3 linked regions of the Pelodiscus sinensis genome follow. Each later gene encodes a partner of the first gene's protein in a complex. Links are inferred from orthologs where the notes say so. Each region holds a gene or a part of one and is shown in the gene's direction. Other genes may lie near its edges.

Region 1 (3,743 bases):
GGAGGGAGATGGGGGGCTGGATGCAGGGGGGCTGGAGGGAGATGGGGGGCTGGATGCAGGGGGGCTGGATGAGATGGGGGCTGGATGCAGGGGGGGTTGGAGGGAGATGGGGTCTGGAGGGAGATGGGGGGCTGGATGCAGGGGGGCTGGATGAGATGGGGGCTGGATGCAGGGGGGGTTGGAGGGAGATGGGGGGCTGGATGAGATGGGGGCTGGATGCAGGGGGGCTGGAGGGAGATGGGGGGCTGGATGCAGGGGGGCTGGAGGGAGATGGGGGGCTGGATGCAGGGGGGCTGGATGAGATGGGGGCTGGATGCAGGGGGGCTGGAGGGAGATGGGGGGCTGGATGCAGGGGGGCTGGATGAGATGGGGGCTGGATGCAGGGGGGGTTGGAGGAAGATGGGGTCTGGAGGGAGATGGGGGGCTGGATGCAGGGGGGGCTGGAGGGAGATGGGGGGCTGGATGCAGGGGGGGCTGGATGAGATGGGGGCTGGATGCAGGAGAGGGGGTCTGGGGGAGATGGGGGGCTGGATGCAGGGGGGGTTGGAGGGAGATGGGGGGCTGGATGAGATGGGGGCTGGATGCAGGAGAGGGGGTCTGGGGGAGATGGGGGCTGGATGCAGGGGGGCTGGATGAGATGGGGGCTGGATGCAGGGGGGCTGGAGGGAGATGGGGGGCTGGATGCAGGGGGGGCTGGATGCAGAGGGGGGGCCTGGGTGGAGAGGGGGCGGGGGGAACATGCGGGGCTCGCGGAGTCCCCCCCCCCAACTCACCTCCCCCCAGCGCCTCCAGCCACTTCGCAGCGCTGCTCTCAGACTGACCCCGCCCCTCCCCCGCCGGGCTCTGCTGCACCGGAGCCCCGCCCACCAGGGGCGTGGCCTGCGCGCCGCCCCGCCCCATGCGCGCCGCCTGATTCTGAGTGGAGCCCGCAGGCGCCCGAGGGCTCTGATTGGCTAACGTGGCCGGTGCCCGGCGGGGGAGGGACACGTGGGGGAGGGGACGGTACGTGCTTCAAGGTCTTAAAGGGGAAGTGTCACCAATTCCTAGGGAGGGGCGCGGGGCGGGAGGAAGTGGCGGGCGGGGCGGGGCGGGGCGGAGTGAGGAAGGGGCCGCCAGGCAGGGCAGGGAGAGGGGCGGGGCCAGAGTCGGGGGGCGGGGCCAGGGAGGGGGCGGGGCTGGAGGACCGCGGGCCATCGAGCGGCGGCGGGAGCGGCTCCCTCCGCTCAGCGCGTGGCGGCGACGGGCCACTTCCGGTTTCCGGTCCGCGCCGGCGGCTCGCTGCGGTCTCCGAGCAACATGGCAACGGCGGTGAGCGCGGCCGCCCCGCCCCCCCGGGCCCCCCCGGGCCCCCCCCGCGCGCTCCCCCCCCCCGCCCTCCCTGACCGGTCTCTGTCTCTCCGCAGAGCACGAAGGTGCCCGAGGTTCGCGACGTGACGCGCATCGAGCGCATCGGTGAGTCCCCCCCGGGCCCGGCTCGGTCTCCATGGCAACGGGGCGCCCCTCGTGCGGGGCGAGGAGCGGGGCAGCAGCGGGGGGCGGGGCGAGGGGCGGGGCAGCAGCGGGGGGCGGGGCGAGGGGCGCGCGGGGCGGGGCAGCAGCGGGGGGCGGGGCGAGGGGCGCGGGGGGCGGGGCAGCAGCGGGGGGCGGGGCGAGGGGTGGGGCAGCAGCGGGGGGCGGGGCGCGGGGGGCGGGGCAGCAGCGGGGGGCGGGGCGAGGGGCGCGCGGGGCGGGGCAGCAGCGGGGGGGCGGGGCGAGGGGCGCGCGGGGCGGGGCAGCAGCGGGGGGGCGGGGCGAGGGGCGCGCGGGGCGGGGCAGCAGCTGACGGTGCCTCCCCTCTGTCCCCAGGCGCCCACTCCCACATCCGCGGGCTGGGCCTGGACGATGCGCTGGAGCCCAGACAGGTACCGGGGGGGGGGGGCTGAGTGGGGGGCGGGCGCCTTGGGGGGGTGGAGCTGGGCAGGTCTGGCAGGAAGGGGGGGTCCCCTATGGGGGGAGGCTGCACGTGACTGGGGTAGAAGGGCGGGTCTGTGGGTGTGGGGCGGGGGGGCGGGGGGGGGGCTGGCCGGACCCCCCCTTGCCAGCACCCACCCTGTCTCTCCCCAGGTCTCGCAGGGCATGGTGGGCCAGCTGGCTGCCCGGCGCGCCGCAGGCGTCATCCTGGAGATGATCAAGGAAGGGAAGATCGCCGGCCGGGCCGTCCTCATCGCTGGCCAACCGGGCACCGGCAAGACGGCCATCGCCATGGGTACCGCGCTCAGGGCACTGGAGTCCCTCCTTGCCGGCTCCCCCCCCATCCAGGAATCCCCATCACACGCACCCACCCCTTCCTTAGAGTCCCTGCCCCATCCGAGGAATGCTCTCACGGGGTGTCTGCCCCGCACCCAGGGAATCCGCCCCCTCTCCCTGCCTGGGAATCCCTCCCACCCTGGCACTCTGCTGTAGATGGCTGGACCCTTCGAGGGAGTTGCCCTGCCCTGAGTGGTGGCTCAGGAGCAGGGATCCTCGGCTTGCCTCTCCCCCCGTGTAACTAGGTCCCCCCTGCCCCCCAGGCATGGCGCAGGCACTGGGGCTGGACACGCCCTTCACGGCCATCGCGGGCAGCGAGATCTTCTCCCTGGAGATGAGCAAGACTGAGGCGCTGACCCAGGCCTTTCGGCGCTCCATCGGCGTGCGCATCAAGTGAGGGGCGGGCCTGGACCCCAGGGTTCTGGCTCAGCACTGGTGGGGGGGGCTGGGGGGTAACAGCAGGGGCTTGGGAGCCTGGGCTGTGGGGTTCTCGTGCTGGCTCTGGGAGGGGGGTGGGTAGAGCAGCAGGGCTGGGAGCCAGGCGGGTGCCATAGTGGGCACAGAGCTGCCTGCCCATGGGGGGCGATTGGGGAAGCTGTTCCTGTGTCCCAGGGAGCCACTGGCAAGATGTGGGGGGAGGACTGAGCTTGGCCCTCTCCTTCGCCACAGGGAGGAGACCGAGATCATTGAGGGGGAGGTGGTGGAGATCCAGATCGACCGCCCAGCCACCGGCACCGTGAGTAGGGCGGGGGCAGGGTGGTGGGGCTGGCTGGCTGGGGACAAGACAACTGGCTTGGCTGGCACTGCCATGCTCCTGCCCCCATCTTGTGCCCCTCAGAACAGGTCCCCTCCCATTCCCTGCCCCCCCCCCGAACACGCCCCTCCCTCTCACCGGTCCCTCACTTGTGATGTCCACGTGCAGAGTGAATGTTACGTGTGCGAGCAGGTGGCGACTGGCCCATCCCCTCCATCATGGCGCACGTCACGTTCATTCTGGGCGTGGACAGTCTGGCCGGGCTGGGGCCAAAGGGTTCGGCGGGTGGGAGCAGGCTCTGGCTGGGGGTGTGGGATCCGTGGTGGGGCTGGGGCTGAGGGGTTTTGGGTACAGGCTCTGCCAGGCCTTTCTCACTGCCGCAGCTCCGGGCCAGGTGCGGGGCGTGTGTCTGCCCACCGTGGCAGCTCTAAGGCCCTGAGCCCCTGCACCGGGGGGTTAGAAGGCTGCCCCGTGGCCACACAGCTTAGGGTGAACTTAGCCCCCATTCCCTGCCTCCCCTCTGCAGGAACTGGCCTCTTCCCCCCCCCCCTCCCCCCAGAATGGGAACCTCCCATTCTCTACTCCAGCCCCCAGCAAGCCTGCCCATGGCCGGTGGGCCAGTGCCCATCCCCCCACTTGCTCTCTGCCAGGGACAGTGGGGGAGGGGGGTCTGACCACACACCCTACCCCCGTACGCAGGGCG
Region 2 (3,743 bases), on another chromosome or scaffold:
ATAGCTCAGCGTTCACGAACAACCCTACCACAACACCCCAGCCAGATGGGCCCAGTGCTCACAATCTTACCACAACAAACTAGCCCAGGGCTCACAAACAATCCCACCACAACAAATGAGCAACGCCAACGCAATGCTCACAAACAGCCCTGCTACAACACATCAGCACAGACAGCCAGGTACTCATGAACAATCCTACCTCAGCTCACCAGCATTGTGCTGATGAACACAGCAGCCTGGTCAGCCCAGTGGTTGTGAACATCCCTACAACAACACACCAGCCTGGCTGGCCCTGCGCTTACTGCTTGGTGCACTCCTTGAAAAGCTTCCCAAAATACCAATATTTTGTCATCCAGATTCATGTTCCTTTCACAGTTGCTTTCCCTAAACATCTGACCAGGTTTTTTGATCTGAGGAAGTGGGTCTGGCCCACGAAAGCTCATCATCTAATAAACCATCTTGTTAGTCTTTAAAGTGCTACATTGTCCTGCATTTTGCTTCATCTGATCAGATGGGATTCTTGGGCTGAACAGCCCAGAAATATGACACTAAGAAGAGGACTCAGGCAGCCAGAGACAAAAAAACAGTTTCTTGCTGCTCATGGTTTATCTCCACAATAGCAGGAAGAAGGTCAAGTCTGGCTTGAGCAAAGCATGGGAATCTAGGGCGAACAGAAGACATCATGATCCAAGAACAAGAGTGTTGTATCTTTAAAGCTTCCTTCAGCCCAAATGTTAATATGCTGTTGAAGTTTAAAAGGTGTCAACACAAATCAAGAGTTTGAAATAGTTTGACTCAAAGTCCGTTCCTCTTTGAACTCTCACTCGTTGGGCTCCAGTGATTTACACTAGCGCTGCAGTTATCCGGGCAGCTGCCAGTCCTGGGACCTATTCCTGGCTATGTTTTGTTGCCCCTAAGTCTCAGAGTCTCCGGACGGATGGAAATAAAATGGGGAAAGCAGAGGAGCAACTCCAGCCTGCTAAGGGAATGGATGAAGCGTGGAAACGGTCAGCGCCACACACACAAAACAAGGAGGCGCCCAGGCCTCATCCCCTACCAGGGGCTCCCAGAAATCTTGGGTCCACCCCAGAACCCTGCCCCCTCTGCTCCTCGTCCCCAGCCCCTCCCACTGGCAATATCCAGCCTGCTCTAAACTGGCCAGTCCCTGGGAGGGGGGGGCGGCCCCACCCCCGATTCAGAGATGTGCCCCCCAACCCTCCTCAGGCAGCCCCCCTCGGCTCCTCCCCTCCCAAAACAGCCAGCCCCGCCCCTCACCCGCCCCCCCCCAAAAACTCCTGAGGCGGCCAGCCCCGCCCCCCCAAACTCCTGAGGCGGCCGGCCCCGCCCCCCCGAGGCGGCCGGCGCCCCCAGCCCCGCCCCATAGCGAGCCGGGCTGTTACATGGAGCAGGCAGCGGGGAAGGGGGCGACTCGGCTCCTGGGGCGCAGCTGCAGGGCCGGTCCCGCCGGAATCCTGCAGGGGGCGGGGAAGGGAGCGGGCGGAGCGAAGTCCGACAGAGCCCTTCACAAAGATGGCGCCTCAGGCCCAGCGTCAGGGCGCGTGCCCCAAACAAACATGGCGCCCGAGGGGGCCTTTTCCCGGCCGGTAGAAGACGTGACCCTGCCGGAAGTTGGGGCGTACGGAGCATGCGCAGAACGGGCGGGAAGATGGCGGACAGCGGCAAGAGCAAGCCCGCAGCGACGGCTCCATCCACCGGCAAAGCCCTGGCGGCGGAGCAGGTACCGGGCGGGTCCATCGCACCCTAAGAAGGGGGAAGTGTGTGTGGGGCGGGCCCATCGCACCAGGTGAGGAGGGGGGGTGTATGTCGGGCGGGCCCATCGCACCAGGTGAGGAGGGGGGGTGTATGTCGGGCGGGCCCATCGCACCAGGTGAGGAGGGGGGGTATGTCGGGCGGGCCCATCGCACCAGGTGAGGAGGGGGGGTGTATGTCGGGCGGGCCCATCGCACCAGGTGAGGAGGGGGGGGTGTATGTCGGGCGGGCCCATCGCACCCCATGGGGGTGGTGTATGGGCCAGGCGAGTCCATCTCTTGGGGGGGGGTTTCACTGAGCGCTCCCCCCCCCCCCCGTGACTGACCTTCTCCCCCCCCCCCCAGGTGGTGGCTGGATTCAACCGGCTGCGGCAGGAGCAGCGGAGCTTGGCCTCGAAGGCGTCGGAGCTGGAGCTGGAGCTGAACGAGCACAGGTGGGGGCAGGATCGGCCCCCCCTCTTCCCCCGTGCGCGTTTAGCTGCTCCCTCACCAGCCAGCCACGTGCCTGCTGCAGCGTCACCTGATGCCTTCTCTCAGCCCCGCCCCCCAGTGCAGCGCAGGGCCCAGCCCATGTGCCCCCTGCGCTGCTCAGCGGGGGAGGAACCCGCCCAGTGCTGGAAATGGTCACTGGCCCCCTGGGCTTTACCTGCCATCGTCAGGGGGATGTCGGGCTCTGCCCTTGGTGTTCAGGGCTTGCTTGGAGCCCTGATCCCATTGCGACTCTGCACACAGGGCTCTGGGTATCAGGTAGGCTGGGCCTCAGACTATAGTGCAGGGTCCAGTGGGGGGGCCACTGGCCCACAGAAAAATCATTCAGGGCCACCCACAAATAAGGAGCAAACAACCAAACCAAAAAGCTCAGCCTCAGCCTTCACTGGCCTGCTCTCCGAGTGAGAGAGGGGGAAAAGACGCATTCCCCACAAACTCCAGCGTCATGGCGGAGTGGAGTGCCGAGGCTCAGGACTTACCCCCAGAGCTGGATTAACTCCTCTGAGGTCCTGGGGCTAGTAGATTTTGTGGGGGCTTAGGCTCTGGAGTGAGTTAAACAATGAGGGGTTCATTGTGTTGGGGAGGGGGCTGCTGGGGAGTGGGATGAGGTGGTGGGGTCAGGGCAGGAGGCTGGGTATGGGAGGGGTAGGCCCAGCTCTGAGGGTCTGGGGCGCAGGTGACCCAGGGCTTGTAGGCACTGTCCCCCAGCCCCCCCATTAGCCATTATTCCTGGCCAGTGGGAGCCACAGGAGTAGATCTTTAAGTGAGCACAGAGGCAGAACTTTCCTATGTTGCTGTTCCCAGAGCTGCTTCCTCCCTGCCTATCAGGCGGAGCCTGCAGGCTGATCTGCTGGGGGAGCTCTGAGCTTTGTGGGCTGGGTCAAAGCAAACCCACTGGCTGGAGGTTCCCCTTCCCTGCTATAGCGACTGGCTGGGCCCTGTGGATCTGCAGCCCTGCCTGTACGGTCTCTGTGGTGCTGGGAGGGCCCTCAGCAGCATCTGCCTTTTCTACAGCCTGGTCATTGACACGTTGCAAGAGGTGGACCCCACCCGCAGGTGCTACCGCATGGTGGGTGGGGTGCTGGTGGAGCGCACTGTCAAGGAGGTCCTCCCTGCCCTGGAGAGCAACAAAGAGCAGGTAACATGGGTGCTAGGCATGGGCAGGGTCTGGGGAGGGCACAGACTGCTCTGTGCCTCACTGGCATGGGGGTGGGGATGTCATGCATGCTGGCTATGTGCCCTTTCTCTTGGTGAGGGAGTCTCTTCTCTAGTTTGCTAGAGGGGCCATGATGTGGTTAGTGCAGGGGTGGGCGGTGCATTGTGTCCAGGAATGGGGAAGGTGCTGGACCTCTCTCTCTGGGGCTCTGCTTGGGAGCTGGAAGGATATCTGCCTCGCTGGATTTCAAGGGGAGTTGGGTCCCTGTGGAAACCCTCACTCTGGGTCCCAGAAAGATCCTACCAAACCATACCTTGTCCCTAAGAGCA
Region 3 (3,743 bases), on another chromosome or scaffold:
ACAGTCAGCCTTCCCCAAATACTGACAGACTGAGGGACAATTGCCACTTGATAACATATTTACTTTCCACAATAAACTCTGTAAAATTGCCCATGAGTGATATAACCAAATACTTGTTCACCAATACCTAAATTGTACTGTTTAACTTGCACATCTAAATCTAGGTCAATGCTCATTATGGACTGTATGTATCTCAAAATTCTTAGCAAAACTTTTAGGTTTAGATCATTCAAACATGACACCTCGTTGTAGATACTTTCCCTTCTTTATCTGTGTACCATATCAATCTTTAATTTAAAAGATTAGCTTTAGTGCAATTTTACTGGAAACAGGCAGTGCCAGGGTACTGGAGAGTTATTAGCAATTACTTCAACTTTTAAAAAGCTGAAACTTCTTGCTGCAAATGTTTCCCCAACTACTCTTGCTTAGTTTCAAAACAATGCTCTTCAGTACCAAGTTAACAAGCTCATCTTCACTGGAGAAAAAGTGTGTCTGCAAAAATTACTATAAAACCGGAAATCTAAATTCTAGCTAAAGGGACATAGTCCACTGAAAAGTTACACTTCCATCTAAAAATGTGTACCTATCATTTCTAATATCACTTGAGCTGAAAAGAGGAGAAAGTGGCTGCTTTTTTCTAGTTACACCCTTCAGCACACGACTTACTGGTCTCATTATTTCCCAGCACGGTCATGTATCATGTGTGTATACAAAAAACAAAAGGAGAAAACCCATGAAACAATTCCGTAGCCGCAAAACCAGAGAAGTTTACGGGTGGAGTCAAGATTAGGTCTAGCGCCCTCGACTACTTTTCTTGCTTTAAAAAAAAAAAAAATCAGCTTTCAAATTAACAACATCGCTCAACACGACAGCTTCATCGGCAGGGAGGTGAAACCTAACAACTTCTCCGCTGCCCCCGGTACTCCCACTGCGCCCTTATCTACAGCCCTAAGGCGACAGGACACCCCCCCCCCCAAACCCCGGGCTGCCACACGGCTGGCGGCCGGACCCAGCTGTGAGCCACGCTAGGAGCTCGGCCTTGGCACGGAGGCGGCGCAGGGGAGCTTCTCCCCCATGGCGGCCCCCGGCGAGCAGGGCTCGGTGACAGCGGACCGGGCAGCGCGGGGCCCCGGAGCGACACCCCCGAGATTAGGCCCAAGGCCCGGCGCGTCCCGTCTCACCCTGAGCGCGTCCGCGGAGACGGGGGGGAAGTTGGGCCTCTTGCTGGGCCGGGGCTGCCCCGTGTCCATGGGGGCCCCGCCCCGCTCCAGCTCGGCCGCCCGTCGCTTCCGTTTGCCCCGCCGGGGGACCTTGATAAAGCCGCCGGCCTCCGCCGCGCCCTGGGTCTGCGGGGCTGGGACCCCGGCCCCGTCCTCCACCGGCCCTTCCATGCAGCACCCCACGTGCGGGCGAAGCCGGGCTAAAAGATCGACGTAGCCCGGGCCCACGGAGACGTCACTTCCGCCCCGAGTGATGCCTGCCGCGGGAGCACTGGCGTGAGCCCCGGATGTTGCCGTTGCTCGCTGGGCACCCGGCTCGTGGTTGAGTCGCCGCAGGCCGCGGCGGTTGGGGCGGCATGTCGGGCGCGGGGATGGAGAAGCCGCAGCTGATCGCGCACGTGCAGCAGTCGCTGAACTACACCGTGTTCGAGTGCAAATGGGTGCCGTGCAGCGCGCGCCTGCTCTGCCTCGGCAGCGTCCCGCGCGGCACCGGCCTCATCCAGCTCTACGAGCTGCAGAGTGGCCGCCTCAGCCTGCTGCGCGAGGTGAGTGTCGGCAGCCGCCCGGGCGCTGCTCCCCCCTGCCCGCTGGGCTCTGCCGAGGGGGGGTGCCGCTCGCCCCCTGAGCTCTGGTAACCTCTTTACGACCCCCCCCCCCCCCCGCCTCTGAGTCTCTTCTCAGGCCCCTCAGTGTCTCCTCCCTCCCCCGTGAGCTGCTGTCCGCTACAGCGGGTGCCAGGACCCGCAGCACCTGCTCCCTGAGGGTTGGTTGCCATGGTAATGTTGGGGCACGCCGGGCCTGCCCAACCCAGGGTGCTGGGCAGGCGGCCCCTCAGCCGTCTGGCCGGGGTGTAGGGTGGAAGCACAAAACTCTCCCCTTCCTTTGAAAATCTCCCTCCCTCCCCCGATAAAGATGCTGTCAGCACCCCGCTGATGCAGTCTGCAAGAATGGTCTCATTTTTTTCCTCACACACCTTGCAGATGAAAGGAGGAGAGGTCTGGTAAGACAATGTAGTCCTTCCCCCTGCAGTCACCAATAAAGAACAGGAACCCCGGGTATGTGGCTGTCTCATAGACTTTAAGGTCACTTCATATGCTGCCTTCTAATGACACTTTTTGCCTCAAATGACTAGAACCCTGTATGGATACGTAATTCGTACCCGCATAAATAATTTTCGAGTGTAGATACCAGCACATAAAGAATATCCAAAAATGGAAAAATTCATCTAGAACCTTATACATCCATGTGCAGAATTAATGTTTCTGTGCACTGAGGCATGCAAACAATGTGCACCTTCAATAGAAACACACAACCTTCCTGTGGGCTCTCTGCTAGTCAGCTGGGCAGCATTTTAATTTCTCTGGTGTGGCAGGAGCACACTGCTTACAGGGAATACTGTTCTAGTGACAACATTTGTATCCACAAAAATCTGTATCCATGGAGAGCTGCATTCACATCTGTGTATGTGGATATCTTGGGATATAAAGCAGATATCCATGGATTTGCAGGATGCTACAGGTGACCCCAAAGTCATCTGGTAAAACATACGTAGTAATGAATTGCAGTCACCACTTGAGTGGAGAGTGGCATATTTCACACAGGGTACTTCTAAATGGGGATAGGGAAGGAAGGAGAATATTGTCAAGGTAAAACATGTAAACAGTGTTTCAAGCCATCCTTTTCTTTAAAAAGAACATAAATTAAATTAAAAAACAAACTTTAAAACTCAACTTTAAAATGTCTACTTCATTGACTGGTCTTACATGGAATTTCCTAGAAACTCTCCAGCTTCATTTCTCATTCTGATGCTTACATAAGAGCATACATGCCATATGCTGCCTGCACTGTGGGAGGGTGTGAAGGAATGGTTCCACTGAAGCTTTTTAAAATACTTCAGTGTCATTTAAAGATCTCCTTATATTAAAAGATTAATCTGATTTCTTACTGTTCAACTCAGGATGGCCGAACTCTTCTGTCTGTAATGTGTATTTTCCCTGTTTTGAGGCTAAAAATAGTAGGTATGTATTAGAGTAGTATCTTCATGCTGAGATCCAAAGGATTTTACGACCAGGTACCTTGCAATAATGCTGGCAACTAATTTGTTTGTTAAAATCAGCTTAAGAAGTTTTTTTGATTGGGATTAATGTATTATCGAGTACACTGTTCCTAAAAATGATTTTACAAGTCTGTACTGTACTGTATTTGGATTTTAGACTCCGATGTGCTGCCAGAATTTTAACAAGAGCTTATATATTTCTACCTCAGCCATGTCACCACTTCCATACAAGAAAAAAATCCATATCCCTCCTTTATCTCCCAAGTATAATATGCATCCTCCAGTCCAGTATTCCATGACCTTAAGTATTTCTTACTAACTTGCTGAGGTTTCTTTAGCTGGCTCCTCTACCTGGCATCCTTTCTGTTAATCAGTTGTGGGAGTGAGGAGGAAATGCCTTTCCTCCTCAAAATCCATTTCTGTCTGTTACCATCTCACAACTCTGCTGATAGCCAGCCTAAAGATTT

What was found.
Region 2: RUVBL2 (region 1) and PFDN2 share a complex: the UniProt entries of both Homo sapiens proteins name them as parts of the PAQosome complex. The link is inferred for Pelodiscus sinensis from reciprocal best matches to the Homo sapiens genes RUVBL2 and PFDN2.
Region 3: RUVBL2 (region 1) and DNAAF10 share a complex: the UniProt entries of both Homo sapiens proteins name them as parts of the PAQosome complex. The link is inferred for Pelodiscus sinensis from reciprocal best matches to the Homo sapiens genes RUVBL2 and DNAAF10.

What each region holds. Positions count from the first base shown.
Region 1 is NW_027465870.1:30,897-34,639, forward strand, and holds the start of RUVBL2 (ruvB-like 2), read left to right. Parts: upstream 1-1,199; 5' UTR 1,200-1,296; coding exon 1,297-1,308; intron 1,309-1,403; coding exon 1,404-1,452; intron 1,453-1,845; coding exon 1,846-1,901; intron 1,902-2,103; coding exon 2,104-2,245; intron 2,246-2,549; coding exon 2,550-2,679; intron 2,680-2,955; coding exon 2,956-3,022; intron 3,023-3,739; coding exon 3,740-3,743. UniProt on the Homo sapiens protein: Possesses single-stranded DNA-stimulated ATPase and ATP-dependent DNA helicase (5' to 3') activity; hexamerization is thought to be critical for ATP hydrolysis and adjacent subunits in the ring-like structure contribute to the ATPase activity.
Region 2 is NC_134734.1:16,077,408-16,081,150, forward strand, and holds the start of PFDN2 (prefoldin subunit 2), read left to right. Parts: upstream 1-1,584; 5' UTR 1,585-1,645; coding exon 1,646-1,738; intron 1,739-2,114; coding exon 2,115-2,203; intron 2,204-3,272; coding exon 3,273-3,396; intron 3,397-3,743. Other genes in the region: NIT1 (deaminated glutathione amidase), read right to left, coding at 1,401-1,402. UniProt on the Homo sapiens protein: Binds specifically to cytosolic chaperonin (c-CPN) and transfers target proteins to it. Binds to nascent polypeptide chain and promotes folding in an environment in which there are many competing pathways for nonnative proteins.
Region 3 is NC_134713.1:181,846,615-181,850,357, forward strand, and holds the start of DNAAF10 (dynein axonemal assembly factor 10), read left to right. Parts: upstream 1-1,452; 5' UTR 1,453-1,576; coding exon 1,577-1,765; intron 1,766-3,743. Other genes in the region: RNA-binding protein PNO1, read right to left, coding at 1,182-1,391. UniProt on the Homo sapiens protein: Key assembly factor specifically required for the stability of axonemal dynein heavy chains in cytoplasm.